Linked DNA regions of Drosophila melanogaster. Changing the gene in region 1 together with any one later gene gives a genetic interaction. Each region holds a gene or a part of one and is shown in the gene's direction. Other genes may lie near its edges.

Region 1 (3,824 bases):
GAAACCTATGAACACAAACAAACATACCCTTAGTTTTACGAATTGTAACCTACGGAGCTAATCTTTTCTGAAATTAATAATCTGTTCATGCTTTCGAGTATAAACTTTAAAAGTGCTAAGCCACGGGTACAGAATAATAGTCTATAACGTGAATGTTTTTGGCAATAATCAGTCGTCAAATTCGAACAATGGTTTGCCATTGGTGTCCCAGGTGTTTTTGCATTTCTTAAAGGCACAAACCAAATAAAGAGCTGAAATAAGAAGCTATTTAGTAATGGAATTCAGAAGTCGATGCTGAGTAAACTCACTTGCTGCTTCCCATTCGGATTTCGAGAGGGTTCCCACCGACCTGCTTCGCTGTGCTCCCTGAAAGTTACTCACATGGGCGAACTCTTCATCATTCTCGCAGCGCTGTGGCTGCACCGACTCCAAGCCGGACATTCGCTGCAGAAGATGCCGCCCGTGGTGCAGATTTTCCTTGTAGTAATCCGCAAATGTGGAGCGCTTCAATAGCTGCAGACCGTATTTTCTGCCCAGCTTGACCAGCGTGGGAAAATGCACTAGGAACTCGGGGCAATCGACAACGCCCTCCAAGTGAAACTGATACTTGGCTCCGAAAAGCGGCAAAGGATCCGTTTCGCAGTCAAATTCAATGCTGTACACATCGTTACCGAAACGCCGGGCATCTGGACCGGCTGCCCTTAGCCTGCGGATGATCTCGTAGGCATCCGGCATTGTGGCTATGAAGAAGCCACCGGGTTTCAGACACTCGGCTGCATTCCGCATCATGCAATCTGCCTGCGCCATTGACTCGAAGCAATAGTGAAAGGCAAACTGACAGGACACGAGATTCAGCTGAAGCGAAGGATCCTTATACCGTTCCCGCAGGCGCACTAATGTGGAGTCGCAGGCAAAAAACTCCGCGGTAAACTTATTCGCAAATTTCGACTTCTCCGATCGCTGCAGGATGTCCTGATATCGCCGCTGGCACTGCTCCACCGACACCTCAGCGATGTCGGTGCAGATGAGGTGGGAGATGGCAGCCTTCTCCCATTTGAGAAGGTCACCGCCCTTGCCGCAGCACATGTCCAGAACTCTGAGAGCATCACCCATGCGTTTGTTCTGCTTAATCTGCGACATATACTCGTTGATCAGCTGGCTCTTGATCCAGTTGTTAAAGTTCCTCATGAAGAATATCTTTGACTTCTGACGATCCTTGCGGCCCGCCTCCTTCAGCTCGTTGTAGTGGTGTGCCACCACATGTGTGTTGGCCGCTCCGCTGGCAGCCTCCGTTTCCGGCTCATCCTGATCATCTGCTCCACTTCCATTGCCCTTCCCGCCAGGCTCATCGTAGTACTCCCTCGGTGATTTACTAACATGCGGCTCCTGATTTGGTGCAGACGTGGTCTCCGCTTGGCCCTCGCTCTCCTCGTCGTCCGACAGGCTGACTGCTTTGTGTGCGCGGGCGAACTGCTCGTCTGCCGCGTTTTGTTCGTAATTAAGACTCATAGTCTCTATTAATTTTCTGTTTTGCCGGATGACCAACAGTCGTTGCCTATCGAAGTTATCGGGTCAGTTAGGAATGAGTGCACGAGTGCTATCGGCACTCGATGTTATTTCGCGCGGAAAGTATTCAGAATAAGAAATATACATTTTAGATTTAAATTTATTTTTCTTCCTAATTAATTTTTTATAAACCAATATTCTCTAAACCATCCTCATTAGCTACTTTTAAGATTAAAGCTAAACAGATTTTAAAAGTTCCATCACTAGTCAAGCACTAGTTAACAGTGCTGTTAATGGAAAACATCAATCAGCTGTTGGTAACTCATGCATTTCTTAACTTTTTAAATGCGGTTGCTTGGAACTTTGAATAAATTTGTTAAATTATTGAATTATTCCCTTGCCCGGAATTTTCCAAAACGCAGCATGGCCTGCAGCAGATTCGAGTACGTTAAATCCTTTGAGCAGGACGACAGCATACTGCCTAATGTGTGGATAGTCATACGAATAGACGGCAAAAAGTTCCACAAGTTCTCCAAGACGCACGATTTTGAAAAGCCCAACGATGAAAATGGTAAGAAAAAACACTCATTATAGTTCTTAATAATCCCATTAAATATTCGCTTTAGCTCTCAATGTGATGAATGCTGCTGCCACGGCGGTGATGCAGGAGTTTCGGGATATTGTCCTCGCCTACGGTCAAAGTGATGAGTACTCCTTTGTTTTTCGCAAAGAGACGGCAGCGTTCAAGCGACGATCCGCCAAACTGCTCACCTACGTCACCAGCTTGTTCTCCTCGAGCTATGTAATGCAATGGTCCAAGTGGATGAATCTGCCATTGGCCTATGCTCCGTGTTTCGATGGTCGCGTTGTTCTGTATCCTTCGGAGCAGAATCTAAAGGACTATCTCAGCTGGCGACAGGCCGATGTGCATGTGAACAACCTGTACAATACCGCCTTTTGGAAACTCGTTTTGGAAAAAGGCCTGACGAACCAGCAAGCCGAGGCGAAACTCCGTGGCACCTTTTCGGCGGACAAAAATGAGCTGCTCTTCCAGGAATTCGGGATAAATTACAACAATCTGCCGGCAATGTACAGAAAGGGAACGATTCTGCTGAGAAAACGCGTGATATTGGGTGAGAAGAGCAGGCAGGCCGTGGTGCCGCTGCACGAGGATCTGATATCTTCGCAGTTCTGGAAGGAACACACCGAAATATTGGGAAAATATGTGCCAGGCACATACGACGCACCACAAACTTTTCCCCGATTGGTGGAGATGCAAATAAATGGCAAGGATGACAATGAGGCGGAGGAGCCACAAAATCTGGCTGGTACCAGCTGATATAATAACGAATAGTCTTGCATTTTTAAAGATTAAAGTTACGATACATCTAAGGAAGTCGTTTCGGAGATTGAGGATGCGGTGCCCAGGCTGCTGGAGTGAAGGACAAACGGATGATCCGTAATGAAGAGTAGCTAATAGTTGAAAGTTCAACTTATGGCATATATTTTAAGATTAAATCTACACTAAGCTCATAGAAAGACTATTTCCTACTAGTAGTCGTCGTCGTCATCGTCATCGTCATCCTCACTTGGCTTGCTGGCAACGGAGCCGTCTGCCAGCGGTGGTCGCTGCACCATTGCTGCCGCTTGCATGCTCATCCACTGCTGCTGCTCCTCGCGCGCCTGCTCCTCGCGTGCCTTGGCGAACAGCTCCTGCTGCTGGCGCAGCAGCTCCTCCTCCGGAATGCCCAGGTTCTCTAGGCGCGTGCTCTGGCGCCTTCGCTTGGCTGCCACCTCCTTGCAGTCGTGCAGAACGGCCTCCGCCTCTTGTTTGTAGTCGTGAAAACCCAAGCGTTCCAACGCCTCCAGGACGTGCTCTGCGTTTATCGTCTTCTTGTTGCGCATGTTGCACACCTCGTTGGCCTCCGAACTGATCAGATGAATGAACTCTGAGCAGCAGTTGAGTATCAGCTCGCGACTCTCGTTGGCCACCCGCACCGTGGGCACCAGCTCCTTGATGATCTTGTTGATGCTGGCCCGTGGCAGGGTCAGCTCGTCGTCCTCGGCGCTGGGCGGCAGTAGTTCTTCCTGCGGATTCGACATGGCGTCCTGGTTTCAAGGAACAAACAAACAAACAAACTTGGAAGCAGATGTTTTTCTCGGATTTACTAGTATAGTGTGCTAGAGTGGCCGTTTACTGCTAACAGAAAAATGTAATCGAAAAATTATTGTTTTTGTAAATAAATGAAATCATTAATTGATTGAAATGAACTATATAAAGCATATATAGCTAAAAATAAAATATATAAATGATGATA
Region 2 (7,893 bases), on another chromosome or scaffold:
TTCAGAAAGCTGGGCATCACGCAGCTTGAATTCAAGCCGGCGTACAATCCGTACACCGAGCCCAGCATGGAGATCTTCTGCTATCACCCCGGCCTGGCCAAGTGGATCGAGGTGGGCAACTCGGGCGTCTTCCGGCCGGAGATGCTGCTGCCCATGGGACTGCCGGAGAACGTGAATGTAATCGCCTGGGGTCTGTCGCTGGAGCGACCCACCATGATCAAGTACGGCATCAACAACATTCGCGATTTGGTCGGACCCAAAGTGGATCTAAAGATGGTGGAGGAGGGCCCCATCTGCCGGCTGGATCATGCTTAATACCTTAAAAAATCAATAGGACCTGCGATCAAATTGCATTTTTTTTCACACATGAATGTTCCAAAACATATTTATAAATAAAAGTTCCGCCACAGAAACTGGGTCTATATTGATAAGGGAAATATAACATTTGGCGAACCATTTTTGTATTTTCCCTCCAAACAGCTGTTGTTCAGGGTTGTCAAGTGCAGCCGATTTATGCTATCTGCATTTTAGGTTATTGTTTGAGGGAAGCATATCGGGTTTATAAAATTCGGAAAATTTTTAAAGAAACTGCTTAGAGTGAGAATCCTAAAATATGTGAGAATAATAAAAACATGTTTGACAATCAGTCAATCAGTTGAAACTATTTGACAACTTTGCCACAAAACAACGTCAAACGAGCGAAGAAAACAACAAAGGAGAGACGCAAAAAAGAAGAAAGAAAAAAAAAAATAAACAAATTCGTCATCGTCGCTGGAGTTTGGGCCTTGAAAAATGGCAAGCAATCCGAAGAAGTCCCTCCACCAGGCGATCCAGGCCGAGTTTGGTCTCCAGCCCACCAGCGATTTGTCCAAATTGAGCAGTATAAGTGGCACGAGCCCAGAAGCGATGCCAAAATTCACAATTCCGCAGCTCAAAATTCCACAGCTTAGAATTCCACAATTGCAGCTGCAGACGAATGCGGATGCCGCTGCCGAGCAGGAATACCGCCGAGAGGCGGAGGCACACAATCAAATGCTACTCAATGAGATCCAGTTGAGGCAACGGCAGCGATCGGAGGGCGAAAACAAGCCGCAATCAATGGGATTTGTGTTACCCCAACTGGTCGCGATGCCCAAGGAGCCCCTGAACATACCCCTGCTGACAAGGTTGGAGAGCGGCATGAAGAAGCTGGATATAGGCGATGGGACAAAGGTGAATACAGCCACGTCAGCACCCCCACTCATTGACCTCACGTCCACGATTATCGCCAGGCATAAAGGCGCACCGCCCAAGGAGCTGGCCAGCAAGGCGCGCCAGTTGACCAATTGTGAGCCTTTTGCCATACCCTTCATTGCCTGCGATCGCGGAAGAAGGAGCACGACCGGTGTAACTCTCTTGGCCAGCAAAAGATCCATCAACTACGACGAGGACGTGCTGGCCGATCGGTCACCAGCGAATAGCGACTACCGGGAGCAACCGGGACCCATTGGGCTCATGCTGGACGAAATGGTGGGCTATCCGGAGCCGAGAAAGCCCCGTCTAGTGTACGCCGTCACTCCGCTGGAACGGCAGCACCTGCGAATGTGCCAGTATAAGGATTACGGCATCCAGGTGAAGAGATTCCGCTTTGATACTCCCTCGCCGGATGAGCTCGTCAAGCAGGCGCTGCAGAAGTCCTGGCGCTTCTCCCGCACTTGACTCCAGTTCATCCTGGTAGTTGACAATTACCAATAAGTGAATAAAAACAAAAAATCCACTACGTTCAAAAATAAAAGCTGTCTGACTTGATTCTTGCAGGGAGTTGATATCACCCATCGATTTAGTAACTAATTAGTTGGCCATCCAATCCCATTCTTTTGTGGCGCAAATATATTTGCGAACAAGTATATTTATGATTTTAGTATTAAAATATGTAACAATATTTATGTTGTTTATATGAATTTATCAAAACGATCATTAGAATGTTTTCACGCCTTATTTTATTTTGAGCCGTGGCGTCGAAGCTTATTCGCGTTTCAGCCAACGGTCACACTACACAGTCGGTCACACTATTGTTGGGCAGCAAGTCTGGGCACACTGCAACTTTGCGAATAGCAAAATCGCGAAACGCAAAAAATTATATTACTCCCATAAAGCACAATTCGAACGTAAAGTGAACTACTAACGTATAGAAAATAAACACAAAGAGCATAACATAAGAACAAACAACAAGGAGGCGTTTAAATATTTATCAAAATAAGTTCTCTGTTCTTGTTGTGCCTCTGTGTGTTTGTGTCTGTGCGCTCGTTTAACTGTGTGTGTGCTCCTTGCGTGTCGGTGTGCGGTGCCTGTGCTTTGGTGTGCGTGTGCGTATAGCTGTCACTTTCTGGCGCGCACACAAGATATATACACACAGAAATTTGAAGAAGCGGTGCCCACCACACGGCCCCCTCCCCGTTCCAGACAACCATCAACGCCACCAGCACCACCACCACCACCCCCTCCTGTTGGCGCGGCTCGGCTCGGCTCGGCTGGATGTGTGCGCCCGGTTCCGGTGCCTTTTGGTTACCGTTCCCGTGCATCTGGACCTGGAAGCAGTGTGTGCGTGCGAGTGAGCGGGCACGATAGAAGTTGAAAGAGCAGGCGAAAGGAGCAAGAGCAGGACGACAGAGGAGCTCGAGTTGCCGGTACCGTTACAGGTAATATTTATATGTGCGAGACACTCGGCGCAAGTGTGTGTGTGTTAGGTGGGGGTTGAAGATACGGATACAGATACATGGATACATTCCAAAGCGGCTGTATGTGCACTTTTCGCTGTTTCCCCAATGCACATTTAATTACTTATTTATTTTTGCGTTTAACTCGATCGTACCCCTCTTGCCGGCGACGCTCATGTTTTTTGTTGTTGTTATTTTCGGTAATTTATTGCCCCGCCTTCGATAAGATGGAAAATTCCAAACTGCCCACAGATTAGGCGTGTGTACATACATACAGAAATATACACACATTCTGGTTCTGTTTCTGTTTTCTGTGGCTGCTGTAACTCAACGAAAGCAAAAAAAAAGCGTCTGCAAACGCAGACATTTGACCTTGTTGGAGACAATAACAACAAGAATAGCAATAACAACGGTAGTGAAAATAGCAAGAACAGCAACAACCCACGCAGACGATTGCATTTGCGATTGTCGTTTTGGAAATGGAAAATCTAAATTGAATCTTTCTTTAGAAATCTGAATGTGAATCTAAGGCAAAAGTTAATAGATTACCCATATACACACGCTCGGGCAATTATCACAATAACATCGTCATCAGGGTCGAGCTTTTATCAGATCCAGCCGCTCACGCACACACATGCAAGCCAATTATCAGGTTTTAATTGCCAAAGCACGCACAACTAAACCCATTCCACTATTCCAGATCAGAAGTGCACAAGGGAAGCAGCAGCAGCATTAGGACTGTTCCAGTTCCACTTCCCAGTCCCGTTCCAGTATTCCAGAGAAGGTGATCGAAATAAAACTAAAACTAAAACTCGACCAACGCCAGCAGTGAGAGCAGTATTCAAAAGGCAACGCAGAGTTGGAGGAGGAGGAGCTAGTGGACGCGGAGGACACCAGGAAAGCCCAGGAGAACTCCCCCCCCCTGAGACCCTGAGATGTTGCCATTCACCCCGCAGGTGGTCAAGCGTTTGTTAGCACTCAAAAAGGGCAACGAGGACAACAGCGTCGAGGGCAAGTGGTCAGAGAAGGCCGTCAAGAATCTGGTCAAGAAGATCAAGAAGAATTCGCAGCTGGAGGAGCTAGAGCGCGCGATCTCCACACAGAACTGCCAGACGCGGTGCGTGACGGTGCCGCGCAGCAAGCCAGCTCCCGCCGGCGAGCATCTGCGCAAGGGTCTGCCGCACGTCATCTATTGCCGCCTGTGGCGCTGGCCCGATCTCCAGAGTCAGAATGAACTAAAGCCCCTCGATCATTGCGAGTACGCCTTCCATTTGCGCAAGGAGGAGATCTGCATAAATCCGTACCACTACAAAAAAATTGAACTGTCCATCCTGGTGCCCAAATCGCTGCCCACGCCGCCCGACTCCATTGTGGACTATCCGCTGGACAACCATACGCACCAGATACCCAACAACACCGATTACAATGCGGCGATCATTCGCAGCGCCTCGTTGAGTCCGCCGCAGTACATGGAATTGGGCGGTGCCGGGCCCGTTTCCGTATCATCGTCTGCCAGTTCGACGCCAGCGACTGCCGCCGGTGGTGGTGGTGGTCCCTCCTCGTCGTCGTCGTCGTCATCGTCCGCCGCCTCCGCCTATCAACAGCAACAGCAGCAGCTGTCCTTTGGCCAAAACATGGACTCTCAATCGAGTGTGCTTAGTGTGGGCAGCAGCATTCCCAACACCGGCACCCCGCCGCCCGGCTATATGAGCGAGGATGGTGACCCCATCGATCCTAACGACAACATGAACATGTCGCGTCTAACGCCGCCCGCCGATGCAGCGCCGGTGATGTACCACGAGCCGGCCTTTTGGTGTTCCATCTCCTACTATGAGCTAAATACGCGTGTCGGCGAGACGTTCCATGCCTCGCAGCCCTCGATCACGGTGGATGGCTTTACCGATCCCTCCAATTCGGAGCGCTTTTGCCTCGGACTGCTGTCTAATGTGAATCGCAACGAGGTCGTGGAGCAGACACGTCGCCACATCGGCAAGGGCGTACGGCTTTACTATATTGGCGGTGAGGTATTCGCAGAATGTCTGAGCGATTCGTCCATTTTCGTACAGAGCCCAAATTGTAATCAGCGATATGGCTGGCATCCGGCCACCGTATGCAAGATACCGCCCGGTTGCAACCTAAAGATCTTCAACAACCAGGAGTTTGCCGCCCTGCTGTCGCAGTCCGTGTCGCAGGGATTCGAAGCGGTCTACCAATTGACACGCATGTGCACCATCCGCATGTCGTTCGTCAAGGGCTGGGGCGCCGAATATCGCCGCCAGACGGTGACCTCAACGCCCTGCTGGATCGAACTCCATCTGAACGGGCCGCTCCAGTGGCTGGATCGCGTGCTCACACAGATGGGTTCGCCACGGCTGCCGTGCAGCTCCATGTCATAAGCGCACGGCCGGTTCCGGTTTTCAATCTTCCCCCTCCCCCAATTTTCCGCACAGAAAGCGCCGGAGTTTAAGGCCCATTTTTGGGTTTGAAAGAAGATCCACAGAAATCCCAGTAAACGGCTCTGACAAGTAACACTGACGATGAATGGATACTATCCTCAAGAATTTGCGGTAGTCAATATCGTTTATTATCGATTTTTATTCACATTCGAGAGAAATTTCAATGGTTATTAAGATGAAATTGGTATGCAATCAATGTGCTTTTGTTCGGCTTTGTAGTGATGTAGTTTAAATACCCTCTGTCAGGGTATAAAATTTAATTATGTCACTAGCTCTAGAAAAAGTACATTTCACTTGCCGAAAGCTGTACAAATTGATGTTGAAAAAAACTACTTGAATCCTTGATGTAACAAGAACTTCCGCATCATCCAAAAATACTATATACAGCTCTATTCATGTTGAATATGACCCGAGATTCATCAGTGTTACTAGTCAGCAGCTCCGCGGGATATCAAAATGAGAATCGGAATTGGTTTCAAAGAGAAAACCAAGAAAAATTCTGAGAGCACATATGAAATAAGTTCAGGCAAATTATATACGAGTACATAAATGAGTAATTGAAAAACAAATGGTAGATGCAAACCAGATGCAGATATATCTATATACAAAGAGCACACACTTACATGTGGGATATATATCTTTACAAGCATATATGAGAGAGAACATGTATTTGGCGTTACAAGTTTAGGACTATATATTGTGTAGGTGGAAACGTGGAGAGAGTTACAGTTTTCGATAAGAAGCAACAATTTTTTTAAACATTTTACATACAAAAAAAAAAAAAAAAAAAGAAAACCAAAAGCACATGAGGAAATAACCGAAATGGAACCGACCAGGAACACAAAAAAACCAAAAGATACCCCGAATCTGTGTGCGTAAAGTTGGTAGCGCTAGAAGCGAGAGAGTCAAAATTCTTTGAGAAAGAAGCAAAACAATTAAATTGGTGATTTGGAACAAAAATGAATGAGCAAAACAGGAACTGGGATTTATCAAGCTTGAAGCTTACACACACAGACACACTACCATACATTGCAAATGTACATAAGACCAAAATAATGAAATTATTCACGCAGGACCTCCACTTGATCGAGTATGGGATTATAGATATATCCGTTTGAAGATGGTTGTTAAACGTTTCGATTTTCGCTTAGTACGTGTGTGTTAAAAAATTCGTAAACTCTTAAAGCGCAGTCAGCTCTTGTTAGTCGTAATATCCGTAAAATGCGATCATATATCCTATGTGTAAAGCACTTGCCCAACAAAATTTGAATGCCGCAAGCCAGGTCTGGCCCATCTAAGGTGCCATTTTGTTCAGAACTGCATTTATTGTGTACCAAATGAGAGATTCTTGATTCTTTTACAGCATCGTATTTGAAACGATAGCTTAACCAACCAATATGCAATATGGTTTGCCGTTGCTGGCCGGATTTTGCTTGGCAAGTGCACGTTTTTCTTGGGTCTAGATCTTAAGTCTATATATGTAACAAAATTCGCTAGCTTATCTTAACGTTTAAAGAGCCCAAATCCAGTTTAAGTTCAAGTTCAAATTGTTTTTACGTCAATATTTGCTGATTCTTTTAATTCTTTTGTTTTTTTTTGCCCATTGCTTCGCTGTTACGACCAAAAATAACTGTACCGCCTGGCCAGTGTTGGGCAGTGAATGGTGCGTGGCGGGCAGTGTTGCCTAGCGCACTTGTCCTCTGGTTCCGGCGAAACTTTAATTTAAGTTTTGTCTATTGTTTGCCCCCTTTGTTGCTTTTAAGTTTCTCACGTGTGCAGTTTAGTGCTAAGACACTTAGTCCTGATTGTCAATCAATCGAATAAACGACCGCGAACGAGATTGTGTTTTGTTAATTGGCTCTAATCACTGTTTTTAATCAAACAATTGTTTTCGTATTTCCGGCTAAGCCCGCAAATAATGTAATGTAATCCTTAAGTTATGCCTAAACGAAACAAAGCAATGCAGGCGAACATGCAACAGCAACAGTCAACAGTCCTCCGAGGACACAACCACAGAGAACCAGCAACCCCGTACCCGTAACTTTATAAAGTATAAATACAAATATATACATATATCTAATATGCAAGCATGCAGATAAAGACAAACAGAATCGTATATATAAATAAACACTTATATTGAATGGAAAGCGCAGACCAAGCCCCCTTCCGGGGGGCAGCTTAGGGTGGGGCGAGTCTCGGATTCGCCTGGAATTCGATTCGAATGGACAGGGAAATCGTACCGTATACTAACATAATCAAAGTGCTCTCGAGCTGTCAACGCTCGTGCACCTTGAGGTGTTGCTTATGATTGGATTTGCGCAGAAATCGTGCTGGACAGAGTGGACAGGCAAATGGTCGCTGCTGGGTGTGGGCAATCTGGTGGTGCTTCAGCTCCGAGGCACTAAAGAATCTCTTGCCGCACTCCGGCTGTGGGCATGGGAAGTCGCGCTGATTGTAGTGCCGCTTCAGGTGGATGCTAAGATAGCACTGATCCGTTAGGACCCGGCTGCAAACCGGGCAGGTGAAGCTGAGCGCAGATGTATCCCGTTGCTCTTGCTCCGCCAGCGGATGTTCGGGATCCGGATCCGTTTGTGCCGCATGCCTTAGCTTTGTGTGAATGCGCCGCGCGTGGATGGAATGAAAGGAGAGATGACAGTCGGTGGCCAAACATGGATATGGTTTCTCTCCCGTATGCAAGCGTCGATGGACAGTTAGGTAGTTGGCATACCGGAAACCCTTGC

What was found.
Region 2: of THG (region 1) and Smox, changing one suppresses a phenotype caused by changing the other (phenotypic suppression), as found in Drosophila melanogaster (one study listed by BioGRID).

Annotation. Positions count from the first base shown.
Region 1 is NT_033779.5:15,007,703-15,011,526, reverse strand, and holds THG (tRNA-histidine guanylyltransferase), read left to right. Parts: upstream 1-1,802; 5' UTR 1,803-1,823; intron 1,824-1,834; exon of another isoform or gene 1,835-1,928; 5' UTR 1,929-1,929; coding exon 1,930-2,077; intron 2,078-2,132; coding exon 2,133-2,845; 3' UTR 2,846-3,038; downstream 3,039-3,824. Other genes in the region: Rnmt (RNA guanine-7 methyltransferase), read right to left, coding at 169-251, 309-1,509; NC2beta (negative cofactor 2beta), read right to left, coding at 3,058-3,609. UniProt on the Drosophila melanogaster protein: Adds a GMP to the 5'-end of tRNA(His) after transcription and RNase P cleavage.
Region 2 is NC_004354.4:8,136,421-8,144,313, reverse strand, and holds Smox (smad on X), read left to right. Parts: upstream 1-2,034; 5' UTR 2,035-2,678; intron 2,679-3,396; 5' UTR 3,397-3,631; coding exon 3,632-5,092; 3' UTR 5,093-7,273; downstream 7,274-7,893. Other genes in the region: alpha-PheRS (Phenylalanyl-tRNA synthetase, alpha-subunit), read left to right, coding at 1-315; CG17982 (uncharacterized protein), read left to right, coding at 793-1,698; CG2120 (uncharacterized protein), read right to left, coding at 7,427-7,893.